Linked DNA regions of Rhinolophus ferrumequinum. The protein of the gene in region 2 interacts with the protein of the main gene of each other region in a pairwise test. Links are inferred from orthologs where the notes say so. Each region holds a gene or a part of one and is shown on either strand. Other genes may lie near its edges.

Region 1 (7,344 bases), on a different chromosome or scaffold from region 2:
AGATCAACACAGAGGATGACGACGAGGATGATGATGATGACGATGATGATGACTAGTTGCTATGGCAACTATCTCCCTGCCCCACCTGTTCTTCTCATGTTCCTTCCTGCCTTCCCTGTCCTTTCCCTGAGCTCTTCCAGAGACATTAGGTCATTCTTTGCTATAGAGCCCATTGAGGATCTATATGCTGAGTACTGAGACCCTGGTTCCCTTCACCTGATGAGAAAAGGAGCAACTTTTCCCCACACAACGGCCCAACTATCTCATCTAACTTCTGTTTCTTGTCCCACAATGTCTCTGGATCTATTATTTGTTTCTCCCGTTACTCCCTAAACTCTTGTGATTTTACTCTTGCCATATCTCTGGGCCCCCATCTCTCTTCCCTCTGTTCCCTCCACCTGTGCATACTCTTCCCCCAACTCTCTCAAATCCTATATCCTTCTGACAGTCCTCTCCCTGACTGTGTTTGGGGCTGTATCTCAACAATCTCGTTAATATATTTGGGTCAAACAAGAGGCCTCAATAAAGGATCTGGGGCAGCTGAGCAAGTGTCTGCCAGTGAGGTTTCACCTCTATGGCAGGAGGGCAGCAGCCAGAGGGGGGGCGTTAGGTGTGAGTGTCTTGTTAGGGGCTTCGATAGGAGGGGGTTGGGGCTCCCTCCAGGCAGTTATCTCAGAGAAGCTTAGATTATTTATCTGATGCAAGTCAATAAGCCATTTCGGAACACATGGTGTTTGTCCAGCACCACCATTACACTCTGGGAGAACAGAGAGTGCCAGGCCTGTCCCTGCTCTCGAGCTGATTAGTCTCACTGGGAAGTCAAAACAAGCATAATAAACAATTAAAGAAAAATACAAAGCAATATGTAATTAAGTGATTATGTGCTGCTTGATGGCACCTTCCCTGTAGCTCTTATTGGAACAGTCAAGACAGATCCTAAAGAACATTTCCTTGGTGAGGCCTTTCCAGAGGTGGCCCCTTCTGCAGCTCCCTCCTCTGGGTTCACACTGCACGCTTTCTTTACACCTCTATTCTAGTACTCAGCACATTCTATTCTAACTCTCATTTACATGTCTGTCTTTCCTACTAGACTGCTCCCAGGCCTTTTCTCTGTGTCCACAGGGCCTGGCACACAAAAAATAGTCCCTAATAAATGTTGATTAAAAGAAGGAACAAATGAACAGAATGAGCTCAGAAGAGATCAGAGTGGGCTTTTGATGGCTTCATAAAGGAAGTGAATATTTTTCTAGGCCTTAAATAGGAGGGGGATTTGATTAAGGGCAAAGGAGTTGGGGAGTGGACATTTCAGGCAGTGGAAACATCAAAAGCACCAGAAGAATGTGTCTGTCGTATTGGGGGCACAGAGGAGAGAGACCAGAAGAGGAGCTCAAGTACTGGTCATGACAGGGAGTGGGCAGGATGGGCCTAGGCTATAGAGGTATTTGAATTTAATCCTGTGAGGTGAGGAAGAAGGGAAAATTTTAATCTGGCATGACTAGCAGGATAGATCTAGGGAGGGGAGATGAAAGAGATACCGGGGGCAGGGAGCCCAACTCTTTCAATGGGAGACCATTAAAATAATTGGGATGAAGTTGGGAGAACATGAACGCAAGTGGTGGTCATGGAAATGGAGAGGAGGCGTTAAGTTTTGTATGCTGGGGATCCCCCAGATCTGGGCCTGCTAGAGTTCCTGGCAGGAAGGATCCAAATTCTCTTCAGCAGGACCCAGACTGGGGTATGTGTAAAGGCGTCAGGAGTGGGGGTGGGGGAACCAAACAATTGAACAGGCCCATAACTAACAGACAGTTTTCATGGATCAGGTATAAGGGTGTTGCTGGGAAACTTAGCAGATTTCCGAGTATGGAAGAATGAGACCTGAGATTAGAGAAGTTTGCACCCTCCACAGACAAACCAAGGATTCCTGGAGAAGTGGCAGGAGTGTAGAGTAGAAACCACGTATTCATCCAACTTATACCCATTTAATAACTGTTTAATACATAGTGTCGTGTCCAGCGCAACATGGGCAGTGAGAGAACGAGAAGGGGAGGCGAACGGTTAAGAAAGAAACAGAAATCAAGAAAGTTTTGAAACAGGGGCCAAGGGTCTCACAGCCTCAAAGGACTGACAGCCCCAAATCGGGCCACCTTGTGGCTTTTACTGATGCACATACAAGGAAGTAGCATTGTTTTTACTACAGTCTGTGAGTCTCATACACAATACCAGAAAACTGGTTCAAACCAATCACCCTTGCCTGTCGAAAGTCCCGTGATATATAAGTAATTATTGTTTGTACCTCCCCAGGGTCAAAACCTTTACGTTGAAAACTTACTAAGATGGAGAACTGATGTTATCACATCTAGAATCACTTCCCAAGCAGGTTGTGGGAAGGAATACAGCCACAGAGGCGGAAGCTCTCCTTAGACAGGGGAAGGTGGTGGCTATGCCCACCTCTGTCAACCCCATGAATTCTCCTGGTGGTCCCCACACAACTGTGCCTGTCTTAGGTTGTTCCTTTCTTGAGGAATCTTGCCCGTCCTTGGCTAGGCAGCCATCCTTTGGGGCCAAACAAGGAGATGGCATAAAGGTGAAGCAATGTTCCTGAAAGGAATAGTCTCACAGACTCTTCTTTCTTTTTAGGGGTAGGCACGAGGGGACAGACGGGCAGGAAGCGGCGTGACAACAACATAGTATGGGCACTAGGCCAATACAATAATACCATGGAGATTACTGTCTGGCATAGGTCAGTGGAAGACCCAGACTAAACGATAGCTCCCATGTTTTAAGCCCCCATTTGTACCAGTCATTGGACACTGACAATTTCTGAATCTCAGAAGACCCCTGTAAGATAGACACTGGTGTCTATCTTACCAGCGAGGACACTGAGGCTCAGAGGCATAACCTGTCTGAGAAAGGAGTAGAAGCAGCATGAAGTCCATGTCCCCTGTACTTGGTTAATTCTAGAAGACCTGGACCTTCCACTGGTGCAGATAAATCATTTAGTTTCAGTCTCAAAGATGGGTCAATGAAATAGTTTTGGCCCCACCACATAGAAAAGATGAGATACATACAAAGGCAAATTATGAGGGTGTGACAGGGGACACTGGGGGACAGGGTAAAGAGCACAGAGGCTGTGAAACCCAAAGCAGCAGAAGTGTGGGACTCTTTCTAGGAGCAGTGTGGATTCTAGAAAGGAGGGCTCACCTGTATTTTCCTGAGGAGTCTCTACCAAGACAGAACGGAGGGGAGGCCAGGGGAGTCCTTGGAGGTGGCCCAGACACTGATGGGGCTCAGACCTCTTCCCAGAGCCAGACTCTGCAGGAGTTGAGGCAAGACCCCTTAGGCTGGAGAAGGGGGTGAAAACACATGCTTCCCCACTTCTTCCTTCTTTCAGTCTGGCTGAGAATCTGGGGGAGGAAAGTCCCTGGGGTGGAAGGGAAATGAGAGCAGCCATCCCAGGCCAGGGCAGAGGGGCAGAGCTAGGAGACAGAGCTAAGTGTGGCTTTGCAAGTTATCTATATTTGCATGCTGAGCTCATCGCTGCTCTTTTTCTCCCCAGAAAATAAAATGACATCATGGTGGAGGGAAGGCGGTAGGGTAGTATATTTGGGGAAGGTGAGAGGAACACAAGGGGGCCCATTGGCTTCATTCTAGAGGGAAATCTGGGGCTCCACGTCCAGCGAAGGCTGCTCTAATGTTGCTTCTGGCCCCCACCCCTACCTCCAGCCCCACCGTCCAACGTGGGTAGTCTGAGCAGTCATTACCCCTGACACATAAAGGGGAGAAAAGAGGTTTTTCTTTTCTTTTCTTTTTTTTTTTTTAATTTATTTTTAATTTATTGGGGTGACAATTGTTAGTATAATTACATAGATTTCAGGTGTGCAATTCTGTATCACATCATCCATAAGTCACACTGTGTGTTCACCACCCAGAGTCAGCTCCCCTTCCATCACCATACATTTGATCCCCCTCACCCTCATCCCCCCCCAACCCCCTTATGCTCTGGTAACCACCAAATTACGTTCCCCAGATTAATTTTCAAGAGGTTTTTCAAAATACCAAGTCAGGCAGCTAAGAGGACCCAGAGACCAAAGGCCTTCCAAACCCCTAAATCCAAACTTGCTCTGTGCCTCCCAGGATTCCAGCCATTGTAGTCATCGAAAGGTCATCATGGGAGGAGGGTGTCCCATTGGGAAAGAATTAAATCTGATAATTGGGTTTCGAGGTTTAGGGGACGAGGCAGCGTCCCCCTCGCAGGAGTCTTCCAGAACCCCAACCCTTTGGTTTCTCCTAACCCCGCCCCACCATCCCCCGCCCCTCCCCGGCTCTGACGTCACGGCCAGCCGGGTGGGGCGAGGCGGAGCTGGGCTCTGGCTCCGGCTTCGCGGGCGGAAGCTGCGCGGCGGCTGGAGCCGAGGAGGAGGCTCCGGACGCTGCTCAGGAAACAGGGACGCCAGAGTGCCCGCACCCTGCGCACTCAGCCCGGAGGCGGTGAGAGGGTGTGGAGGGGACGTGGCTTGGGGAGGGGGAAGATTTGGGGTCTGGGCTCGGAGGGGCGTGGATCGGGACGCCCGGACAGGCGTGGGGTGTGAGGCCCCGGTCGGGTGCGCGGGGTCAGGTCCCTGGGCTCAGTCCCCGGAGGGGCGCCTCGAGCATGTGCCAGAGGCAGCGGGGCTCTGGCCTCCCAGTCCCCGCTGGCAGGCGGTTTGAGATCCCGTACGGGCCTGCTTCCCGCCCAGCCTGTTCGGCGGCCAGCTGCCGCCCCCCTCCCCTCCTCTGGCTGCGGACTCAACCTCGGGGGTGGCCTCCCTCCCGGCCCAGCCCGTCTCAGTCCCCCGGCAGCCTGTACGCCCCCACCCCGCCCTCTGCACCTGGGGAAGAGGTGGGATTGGTGACAGTGTGTCCCTAGGGAAGGAAGGAGCTGGGGTGTAGAGGAATGAAGTAGCTAATGTAAAACCCCTAATTAATTTCATATAATCCGTGTCAAAACTGACAGGGACACACACCTACAAGAGACAAGCCAGCACACACGGTGACACACACCCATGTGACTCCTACACACATCGTCTGGCACACAAGCAGATTACAAACGTCCCTGCACTACACATCCAACCCCCACCTCATCCCACTTGCATATCACCTGGAAGAACATTAGTCTAACTGGACAGCTGAGTGGGGGCCACTGTCCCCAAGTCCACCCTAATTTTCTGGGCATCTTTTCCCAGCCTTGGGCTTCAGGTTGCATCTCTTTAAAACAGTGGGAAAAACAGAGAAAATCCTGGTGTCACTCCAGGAGAGCGAGACAGGATGTTGAGGGTGAGTGAGCCTGGTGCTCTGAAACTGGGTGAGTAGGGAGGGTAGGAGCTGCTGGTGGCCACTCTTGCTGGGTCGTTAGAGCTTATAGGGTGCTGGGAGTGGTTGGTTTCTGGCATCAGAGTGGAGGAGGGGGTGGAAGCAAGGGAGAAGGAGAAAAAGAAAGAATAAGTATGAGTCAGCCAAGGATGGAGCCCAAGTCAGAGAGAGAATGAGGGGAAGGTGAGAGGGACAGAGATACAGTCAGGAACAGGGAAAGGGAGGAAGTGACAGAAAGAGATGGTCCGAAGACTGGGAAGAGTGTTGGGGAATGGACTATACAAAGGGTCAGAAAATTAGAGGGCGAAAGCAGGATGGTGGTGAGACCACAGGGAGTTAGGGAAAACATGCTGAATCAGTGTGTTTTCTCTACTACAGTGTCTGGCCCCTAGGCTGTCAGAGTGACTAGCTTTAATTGCTCTTCCCTTTGTGGTTCAACACTGTATTAGGGAAATTGCCAGAGATGCCTTAGGCTGCTGACTGCCCTGGTTGCCTACTTCCTCACTTCCCTGACACCTGTGCCCATAATGTGTGCATGTATTGATTATCAGGCATGAAGAAGAGAGCCACAGAATCACACCCTGCCATGCCATCCCCTCACTCTCTCATACAGATCCTCATGCACAGTACAGTGGGGGACATCACCAACCTGTGTACAGCCAACCAAACTAGGCACTTCCCCACCAGACTTACCCTATCTCTCTACAGCAGGGTAGCTCACTCCTTCCTAATAGAATGGTAGCTCTGAGTATTCAGATGGGGACACTGAGTCACAACCCAGGAGTCCTGAGTAGCCATGTTTACCACGAAGTGGGATAGGATGAAACCTCATTGAAAGGAAAGGAGAGAGACTGAGAGACCAGGGAGAGAGGGAATGTATGAGGAAGAAACAGAACAGAAATAGGAGTGGGGAGAGAGACAACCAGATGAGGGGAGAGCATCACAGGCCCCACCTTCTCCTCCCATCAGGTGGCCCTCTGCCTTCTTGGTCCAGTGGGTATCTCCTAATGCCCTCATCTCCATCTGGTCTTTCTTCTCTTAGATTAAGGGCTAAAGGCTTTGCACTGTCCCTGTGCAGAGAGGTGACCCATTTTGCTTCTTGGACTGAACTGGAAAGGTCCTGAGACCCAGGTATCCCGCCTCCCCTCACTCCAGGCTGACTCTTAAGTGTTAGAGCCCTGTTCTTTGTTACAGGAATAAAGACCATTCCCCCCCCCCAAAAAAAAAATGCTGAATAGAAGCTAAGGGAAGAAGTCAGTTGAGAATAGTATTAATGGATTAATGGAATAATTAACGGATGAACTACAGGACTGCTTGAATTTGAGGCCCAGATAAAATTTAAAATAGAACCCTGCACTCTCCCTTCCCAATCCTCTGCTTCTCCTTGATTACTCCCCCACCTGCCCCGCCCCCCCACACGCTCAAGAGACTGACAGACTTGAATGCCTAGAGGTCCCCTCCTGCCCACTGCAGGGATCTCCAGGCCCCTCCCCTCAGCCTTAGACAGCTGCAGCAGATGTGAGGGAGGGATGGAGGGAGGGGCAGCAGCTCTTAATCCTCAAGCTTTCTTCTTAAATTGAGGATTTGGAAGCAAATGCTAGGGGGAGGGGATAATCATGAATTGATGTCAAAATGCACAGAAATCTTTTGGTGTTGCCACCTTCTCCACAGGTGGTTATCCCATTTTGCTAGGCTTCTCATAGTGCCCCCAGGGCTTGCTCCTTCCTCCCCCAGTGCCCAGGGATCATCTACCTATCAAGCTCCCAAGTCCTTCCCTACAGGTCTGTATATAATGATCCTTACCCTCAGCCCTTCTGCCTCAGCATCCTAAGTTAGTCGGACCTTAGACAGGGACTCCACCTGGGGCCGGCTTGGAAGGAGAGGGAGGAAGGAAGGAAAGTGTGAGGAAGTTGTGAGCAGAGAACAGAATGACCTGGGAGGAAAGGGGCTGACTTCCTGGCAGCCTCAGCTCCGGTTCCCGGTTCCTGCCCTGGT
Region 2 (6,870 bases):
CAGGTTATATTTTTCTAGTGAGATAACAGTGCCAAAACTCTGGGTTCAGGCTGCCTGGCGTGGAACCCCAGCTCTGCCATGTGCTAGTTATTATGTTCTCACTGTGCCTCCAATTGCCTCATCTCTAAAATGGGGCTGATACTATTACCTACTTCACAGAGCTCTTTTGAGGATTAACGTTTAGAATAGTGTCTGGCACACAGGAAGCACCATATGAGTGTTGATTAAATAAACAAATCATTTTATTCTGTCACTGAAATATTTGTTCAATAAATTCAAAAATTAAGGAACGTTCACAACAGAAGGGACAAAAAAAGAACTGTGACAGTAAGAAACACTTACATAACATACACAATTGTTTAATAACCCAGCACTAAAACATCTGGGATCCAGACTTTACACTGCACCGTGAATTCAGGGACACTAACACATCGGAATGCGTTCTCACTGCAACAGAAGATACAATTTGTATGATTCCATTTCTAATCAGAAATGTCACAGGCGTATGGGAAATTTAGGTTACAAATTTCTCATTTTAACCCTGCAACAACATTTAACTATATATATTCAGCAGGAGAATACATTTTATTTTGTGGTGCTAAGACTTACAGGATAGTAAACATAAAACCAGGCCTAGCACAGCGACATTTCTTTTGTGAAAACAATGACTCAGACTAACTGTGAATTTAAAGAGCCATAACTTATGTGAAAACAATGACTCAGACTAACTGTGAATTTAAAGAGCCATAACTTATGTGCTGAGTCTCCTGGCATAAATCTTTAGTAAACACCTGAGTGAAGAAGAAATTGCTACTACACCCACCACCTAGCTGGACCAAAACTGCTTTTAGTTTCTAAATATGTGCCACAACCTGAGTTTAAGCATAATTTAGACAGTTGCTATTGCACTACAAAAGGGGACAAAAGTATTCTATTTTTCTGCTAGGCAGGGGAGGAAACTATCAATAATAACTCCCTTACCTGTGTCACCCTCTTGATAGCTAAACCTCACAATACCTTTATGTGAAAATTTAAATAGCTCACACGCTTATCCTAAAGTAGTGATGTGTTAGAACTTTCCTGATAGAGATAAGATGACTAAACACAATTTGGTTATAGCTTTTCACCTCTTCTCTTCAAAAGTACATTTCTCTAAAGCAATGACAGGAGAACTCAGACTTGCTTAGGAAGAAAACTAAAGCCTGCAACACAATCATTATCATTAAAATGTTATTAAAATCCAACGAGATGAAAAGAAGGATGGTGGTGGAAGGATGGTGGAAGAACGGTGGTGATGGCAGCATGACAATGTGAATGCCGCTGACTGTATGCTTAAAAATGGTCAAATGGCAAATTTTATGTTATGTGCATTTTACCACAATAGAAATAAAAACTTTTTAAAAAACCCTGAGAATTAAAGGTAAATGGATTTTATAACAAAGAATTTTTTATTAAGTAACACAATTAGTACTCTGACAATTTCCAAGGACCAAGGTCCCCCAACCAACCTAAATGAGCATTATACAGCACTTATCACGGTAGTTCATAAATATTCCGACATCAGGGACCAACACGGTAAAGGTACATCTTCCTCAAAGCCTTCACTACTACATTTTTTATATGGATTGTGAATTGTACTGGATCTTAAGAAGACAGACTGGGAGCTCAAACAATTAGTTAGAAGGTCCTCAAACATTTAAAGGCTGCATACAAATTCAAGCTAAAAGCCTGTGTACAAATTCACTTGTATGTATGTATGTTAGAAAACATCTCCTACTGAAAGAGATCCTTATTCAGATGGGCATTGTGTAAATGTGGTGACTGTTAACAGCTCACGCTGTAGGCTCTTTCCCTTCTTAAGGCTTTCACTGCACCACCATTAATTAGCCCATTTCACACAGCGCAGAGGTCTCTGGGGACCTAGATTCCCACAAGCCCTTGGAAGGCCCACAAACGTTATCTAAACTGACACTGGCAGGCCTGGCAGATAAACTTAACGGAACTCTCAATTCTGGGGAAAGATAAGGATGATCAAACGCAGAAACCTTGGTGGATCTTAAGAATGCACTTGCATTTAGTACTTCACAGAGGAGGTAAAGGCAATAATCCAAGATTAGGAGAAGGCGCAAACATAGGCGTGGCGGTAGCTCTGAACTGATTCTACAAGGGCAGTTCAGAAGGACGTCACAAAATCCTATCCAAGACTTGGGGCACTGCGCTCCTGGATCTGAGATCTGGGTACCAAATAACTTTGAGTTGGCTGGAGAAAAACAAGCCCCTTGACACACCCCCCACTCCAGGCCCCCGTGTCCCTTGCCCCAACTCGACGTCAGCTCTCCTTGGCGCCACAGCGAGCAGCTGTGTGGCCACATGCCCAGGACCGTGTATCTGGCAGGCTGGGCTCTGCGCCTCGCAACGCAGCACTTCCCAGAGCGCCCGCCATCCAGGTCATCCCACAGCGCGCGGACTCCGGGCGCTCGAGATAACCGGGGAGCGCCAGACACACTACACTGGGGCCCCGCCGCGGGCTGGGCGGGTGCCTCCAACGTCGGCCTGGAGCCAAAGTGGCTCTGCGCTCCGGCCCGCAGCCTGTCCCGGCAAACGTGCGCGCCGAAGTTGTTGGCGTCCACTCTGCAAGAAATGGACCGGAAGGCGCGCACTGGAGCCCTCCGATGGAAGCCAGAGGGGCTGGTCCCGCGAGGCCGCACGGCGCTGGCGCCCGCTGCTGCTGCGGCTGCCAAGGTCCCGTCCAAGTTGGGCGGGGAGAGGCCAGCTGCCCAAGGTTGGAGGGAGAAAGGACGGAGGGTGAAGGAAGCGGAAACCGGGCTCCCACGGGAGCCCTGTGCACCCCGGCCACAGCGCAGCTCCTACCTGAAGGGCCAGTGCGGCCGCGGGCACTTGCACGGTGGCGGCGGATTCTCGGGGTTCAGGCGCAGCTGGCACAGCTGGAGTCGCCGGAGGAGGGAGGGCCTGAGCTGCGACAGCGCTGCTCCGCCGCCCGGAACTCGCCGTCCGGATTCGCCCGGACAGGGGTGGGGCGAGGTGGTTTTCAGTTCGGGTGCCTAGCGGCGCAGGCTGTTGTCCCCTCGGGACTGAAGGGCTCCGGCCGCCGGGCCTCTCTCCTGGTCCTGGTTTCTTTCTTGTATCCCAAAGTTTCACAAATCAGCCGCATCAACCTAGGGAATGTCACTAGCGTTAGTTATTGTCAGGTACTCTTGAGCCACCAAGTGCCCAGGCACTGTTCTGGGAGCTTTGTCTATATTATCTCATTCTCATCTATTGCAGCTGGTAGCCACCAGCGATAGGCCCGTTTTACAAGTGGGGAAACAGCTGATCACAAAGGTGAAATAACTTGCCTGTGGTATACAATTACGAAGTAGGAGCTTTGTTGACATCACTTATAAGCCTTCTTTCAACTTCCTACTTCCTAAAGTAGGTGTTATCGCTAATTTACAGATAAGGAAATTGAGGTTCAGAAAAGTGAAGTAATTTAAACTACAGGAGACTGCATTTCTGTCTTGGTGTCTTTAAAGCTCAAGCAAGGTGTAATTCAGAAATCTTAGCATAAAATAATAAATCAGGAGTCAAACATGGAAAATTCCCCTTGCACCCATGGAAATGTCCAAATACAGCAATTTTGATATTTTTAGTCCACTTAGAATGAAGTCTTAAGAAAAAGAGAACCAACTGTCATGTGGCCTGACTAGCAGCCCTTTTGGAATATGCTTTTGAATATAGGCCAGCTCCAGCCTCATTACACAATATTGCATTCTGCCAAAGCCAAAGGAAGCAATCGTGTCCACATACACCAAACTGTTAATAACGATGGCCACTTTAAAGCACTTAGTGGATATTGCACAGCCAAGACGGCCCGAGTTACATAATGTCTTACTGCACACATGGAACTGCATGAAATGAAAAATACTATATTCCAGTCCAAACTGTGTGTGGGGGGGTGACCTTATAGTCTGGAACTCTGTTTTCCTATAACCTATAGTTGTTCAGCCCTCCCTGGACTACATTTTTCTCTGTTGAGCACATCTTTTCCTAATGATAGAAGAATCACACAGCCGTCACTCTTTCCTTGTTGACAGACATGATTGATGTCTTTTGAATCCTATGATACTGACAGATTTTTGCAATTAAACACATGGCCCTCTGAGCATAGAGAGTATTGCCTAAGAAGAGTTTGGCAAGTATAAGACAAGCGTGTTACTGAAAGGCTGAATACCCTTTCCTCCCCTTCTTTCTCAAGTTTTATTAATCACAGATGATTTGGTAAGTACTATACACACCAGTAACAGCACTCTTACAAGCTTGTTTTCAGAAGTTATAGTGCTTTTGATTGAGAAACAGCGGGCTATAAACTTGCATCCCAAATTTCTAAGTGTCATCATTAAGACATTTGGCACTACCTACAATAATAGGCCTTTTTATTAATTTTAATTAAAAATGTAATTATTTAAGTGCCCTCACAATAACTCAATTTCTCCTTTCTTGAGCTAGAGGAGTAAAATAGAAAACGGCCGTCCATTGTCTAGAGATAACCTTAAGCTGTGGACTGCCATAAATAAATTTTAGATGCACGAGGATTCTGCATGTAGTTATTTCTATTTCGTTGAGAGATTTGCTGATTGTTGGTGGTTGTAATTTTTCCACATCTTGCATATTTTCAGAGATGTTTTCCATGTCCAAACCTGTAGAGAATTTTGATAAAAATTTATTTGAGCCACACAGAGGATAGGCCTGCAAGCAAGATCGCGACAGAATGAGAAAATACTTCCAGAATGGCAGTTTTTATGCATTTAGAATTTTATGCATTTAGAATTAATGCTTTTATGCATTTAGAATTAAGGAGGGAATTTAAGGAAGATTACATGAAAGTGGGAGAAAGCAAGGCGGGCATTGTATTACAGGATAGTTCACAAGATTGTGTGCTCTCTCGAGGGTAGTTTCTCTTGAGGTGGTTTCTCTTGAGGGGTCTGAAAAGAGGCCTTTCAAAGGTATGTTAACTGGGATGCATAGAAACAATGGACAGCGCTTGCTTAAGGCAAAGAGAATCCTTTCACTACAGAAGTTATATGCCTGGGGCCTGACTACCCACCATGACCTGCCCAGTTAGGAATTTATAATCAGATCACCCTGTGAGGAGGTTACTTTCCATCACTGGACTTGTCAGTTTTATTACAGAGCCCCCTTTTTTGTCCACGAGGTCAAGAAATAATGATTAAGAACGCCTGTTATATAACCATCTGGATACACATCCAACATTTTTATCAGACAAGTGGTATTCTAAATTCCCTTTAATTTTTATCTTTTCTTCTCAGTATAAAAGTAATATATGCTCATTTTTGTAATTTTTACATTTGTATTTTACAAAAATACAAAGTTTCAGAGACCACAGAAAACAAATTTTTCTAAATTAAAATTAATCTTCACACACACACACAACTCATTGTTAATGTTTTGTTATATCTTCTTTTTGTTTGTTTTCTATACAACAATAAAGGTTTGTTACAAAATTATCATGCTGTACAAACAATCTAGAATCCGTCTTATCTCACTGAATATTTATAAACTGAGTATTGTTTACTTCCACTAAATTTTTTTAAATATATGTTTTAATGGGTGAAGAATATTCCAATCATTTATTTATCTATTCATCTACTGATGGCTTTTAGGATGTTTCCAGACTTTTGGGTGGTTTATAAATCATGCACGATATCACCATGGATGTCAATCTTTGTTGAGATCCTAAATTCTTAGGATAGAGTTCTAAAAGTGCAACTACTTGGATCAACATCTATAAATATTTTTGAAACTCTATAACTCTGCAAAATACTTTCCAATGTTGTGTTATCTTGCTTGTAATTTGAAAATGGGCCGGATCAAAATCATATCTTGTTTTAATCAGCATTTCCTCAATAATCAATAATGATGAACATTATTTTTTCATGTTTATTGATTATTTGTACCATTTACTGGAATGATCTATTCATATCCATTGCATGTTTTTTTCCTATGTGATATTATTGCTCTTGTTAATTTGTATTAATGCTTTTAATGGAACCATATTATTTATGTGTACATATACATATTACATGGAATAATCATGGAATAATCTGTAAAATATAATAAAAATAATATACTTATTACTTTTAGAATACTCTATAAAATTTGCATACCAATGTGCTCCCCCAAATTTTCCCTCATGATATTTTTTATGTGTACACTGCTGTCCAAATCAGCTAGGCCATTTGGAGATGCTCAGGATCCATCTTTTTTTTTTTGGGGGGGGGGTAGTTCCATTCTCTTATAGAGAATTGCCTCTCCCCAAATATGAATAATCTTGGCAAGAGAGCAATTTTGGGTAGCGATCTCCAAGGCAAAGGGCAGCTCCTTCCTATGCGTTCCCACTACCACTCCATTTACCTCAGGGGCTAGATGCACTGGTTCTCAAGGAATGAGGGATTCGGCGGCGTTTGGTGGTGGGGTCCCTGAGCAGAGGCAGTAGCAGCCCCAGCAGTAGCTTTGCCCTGACCAGTGGGACCCAGTCAGAGACAGTTTCCCACTTCCTGCTTTGTTTGTTTTTTAACTTCTGGTGCGTGTTAGGTATCTGCCGTGCCCAGCCTTGTCTCCCAGCCTTGCCCTGAGTCTGTGGCCCCTTGGGGCCATCTAGATAACAGGAGCCTGCATCCATTGCTAGCCCCCAGTAATCCTCACTGATGTAACCTGTGGGACTTCTGTGTCATTCTGTCCACTGGACAGTCCCCTGATTAGCAACCATTCACTTCATTTATTTGTTCAGAAACATTTCATTATTAATATTAATTAACTAACCATGGCACCCATGCTACTCTGAAAACAGAA

The links.
Region 1: the proteins of PLD1 (region 2) and PEA15 interact in a two-hybrid assay, tested with the Homo sapiens proteins (2 studies listed by BioGRID). The link is inferred for Rhinolophus ferrumequinum from reciprocal best matches to the Homo sapiens genes PLD1 and PEA15.

Annotation. Positions count from the first base shown.
Region 1 is NC_046305.1:28,328,003-28,335,346, reverse strand, and holds the start of PEA15 (astrocytic phosphoprotein PEA-15), read left to right. Parts: upstream 1-4,331; 5' UTR 4,332-4,488; exon of another isoform or gene 4,489-4,496; intron 4,497-6,391; exon of another isoform or gene 6,392-6,480; intron 6,481-7,344. Other genes in the region: CASQ1 (calsequestrin-1), read left to right, coding at 1-56. UniProt on the Homo sapiens protein: Blocks Ras-mediated inhibition of integrin activation and modulates the ERK MAP kinase cascade. Inhibits RPS6KA3 activities by retaining it in the cytoplasm. Inhibits both TNFRSF6- and TNFRSF1A-mediated CASP8 activity and apoptosis.
Region 2 is NC_046285.1:70,808,514-70,815,383, reverse strand, and holds the start of PLD1 (phospholipase D1), read right to left. Parts: upstream 3,014-6,870; 5' UTR 2,872-3,013; intron 1-2,871. UniProt on the Homo sapiens protein: Function as phospholipase selective for phosphatidylcholine. Implicated as a critical step in numerous cellular pathways, including signal transduction, membrane trafficking, and the regulation of mitosis.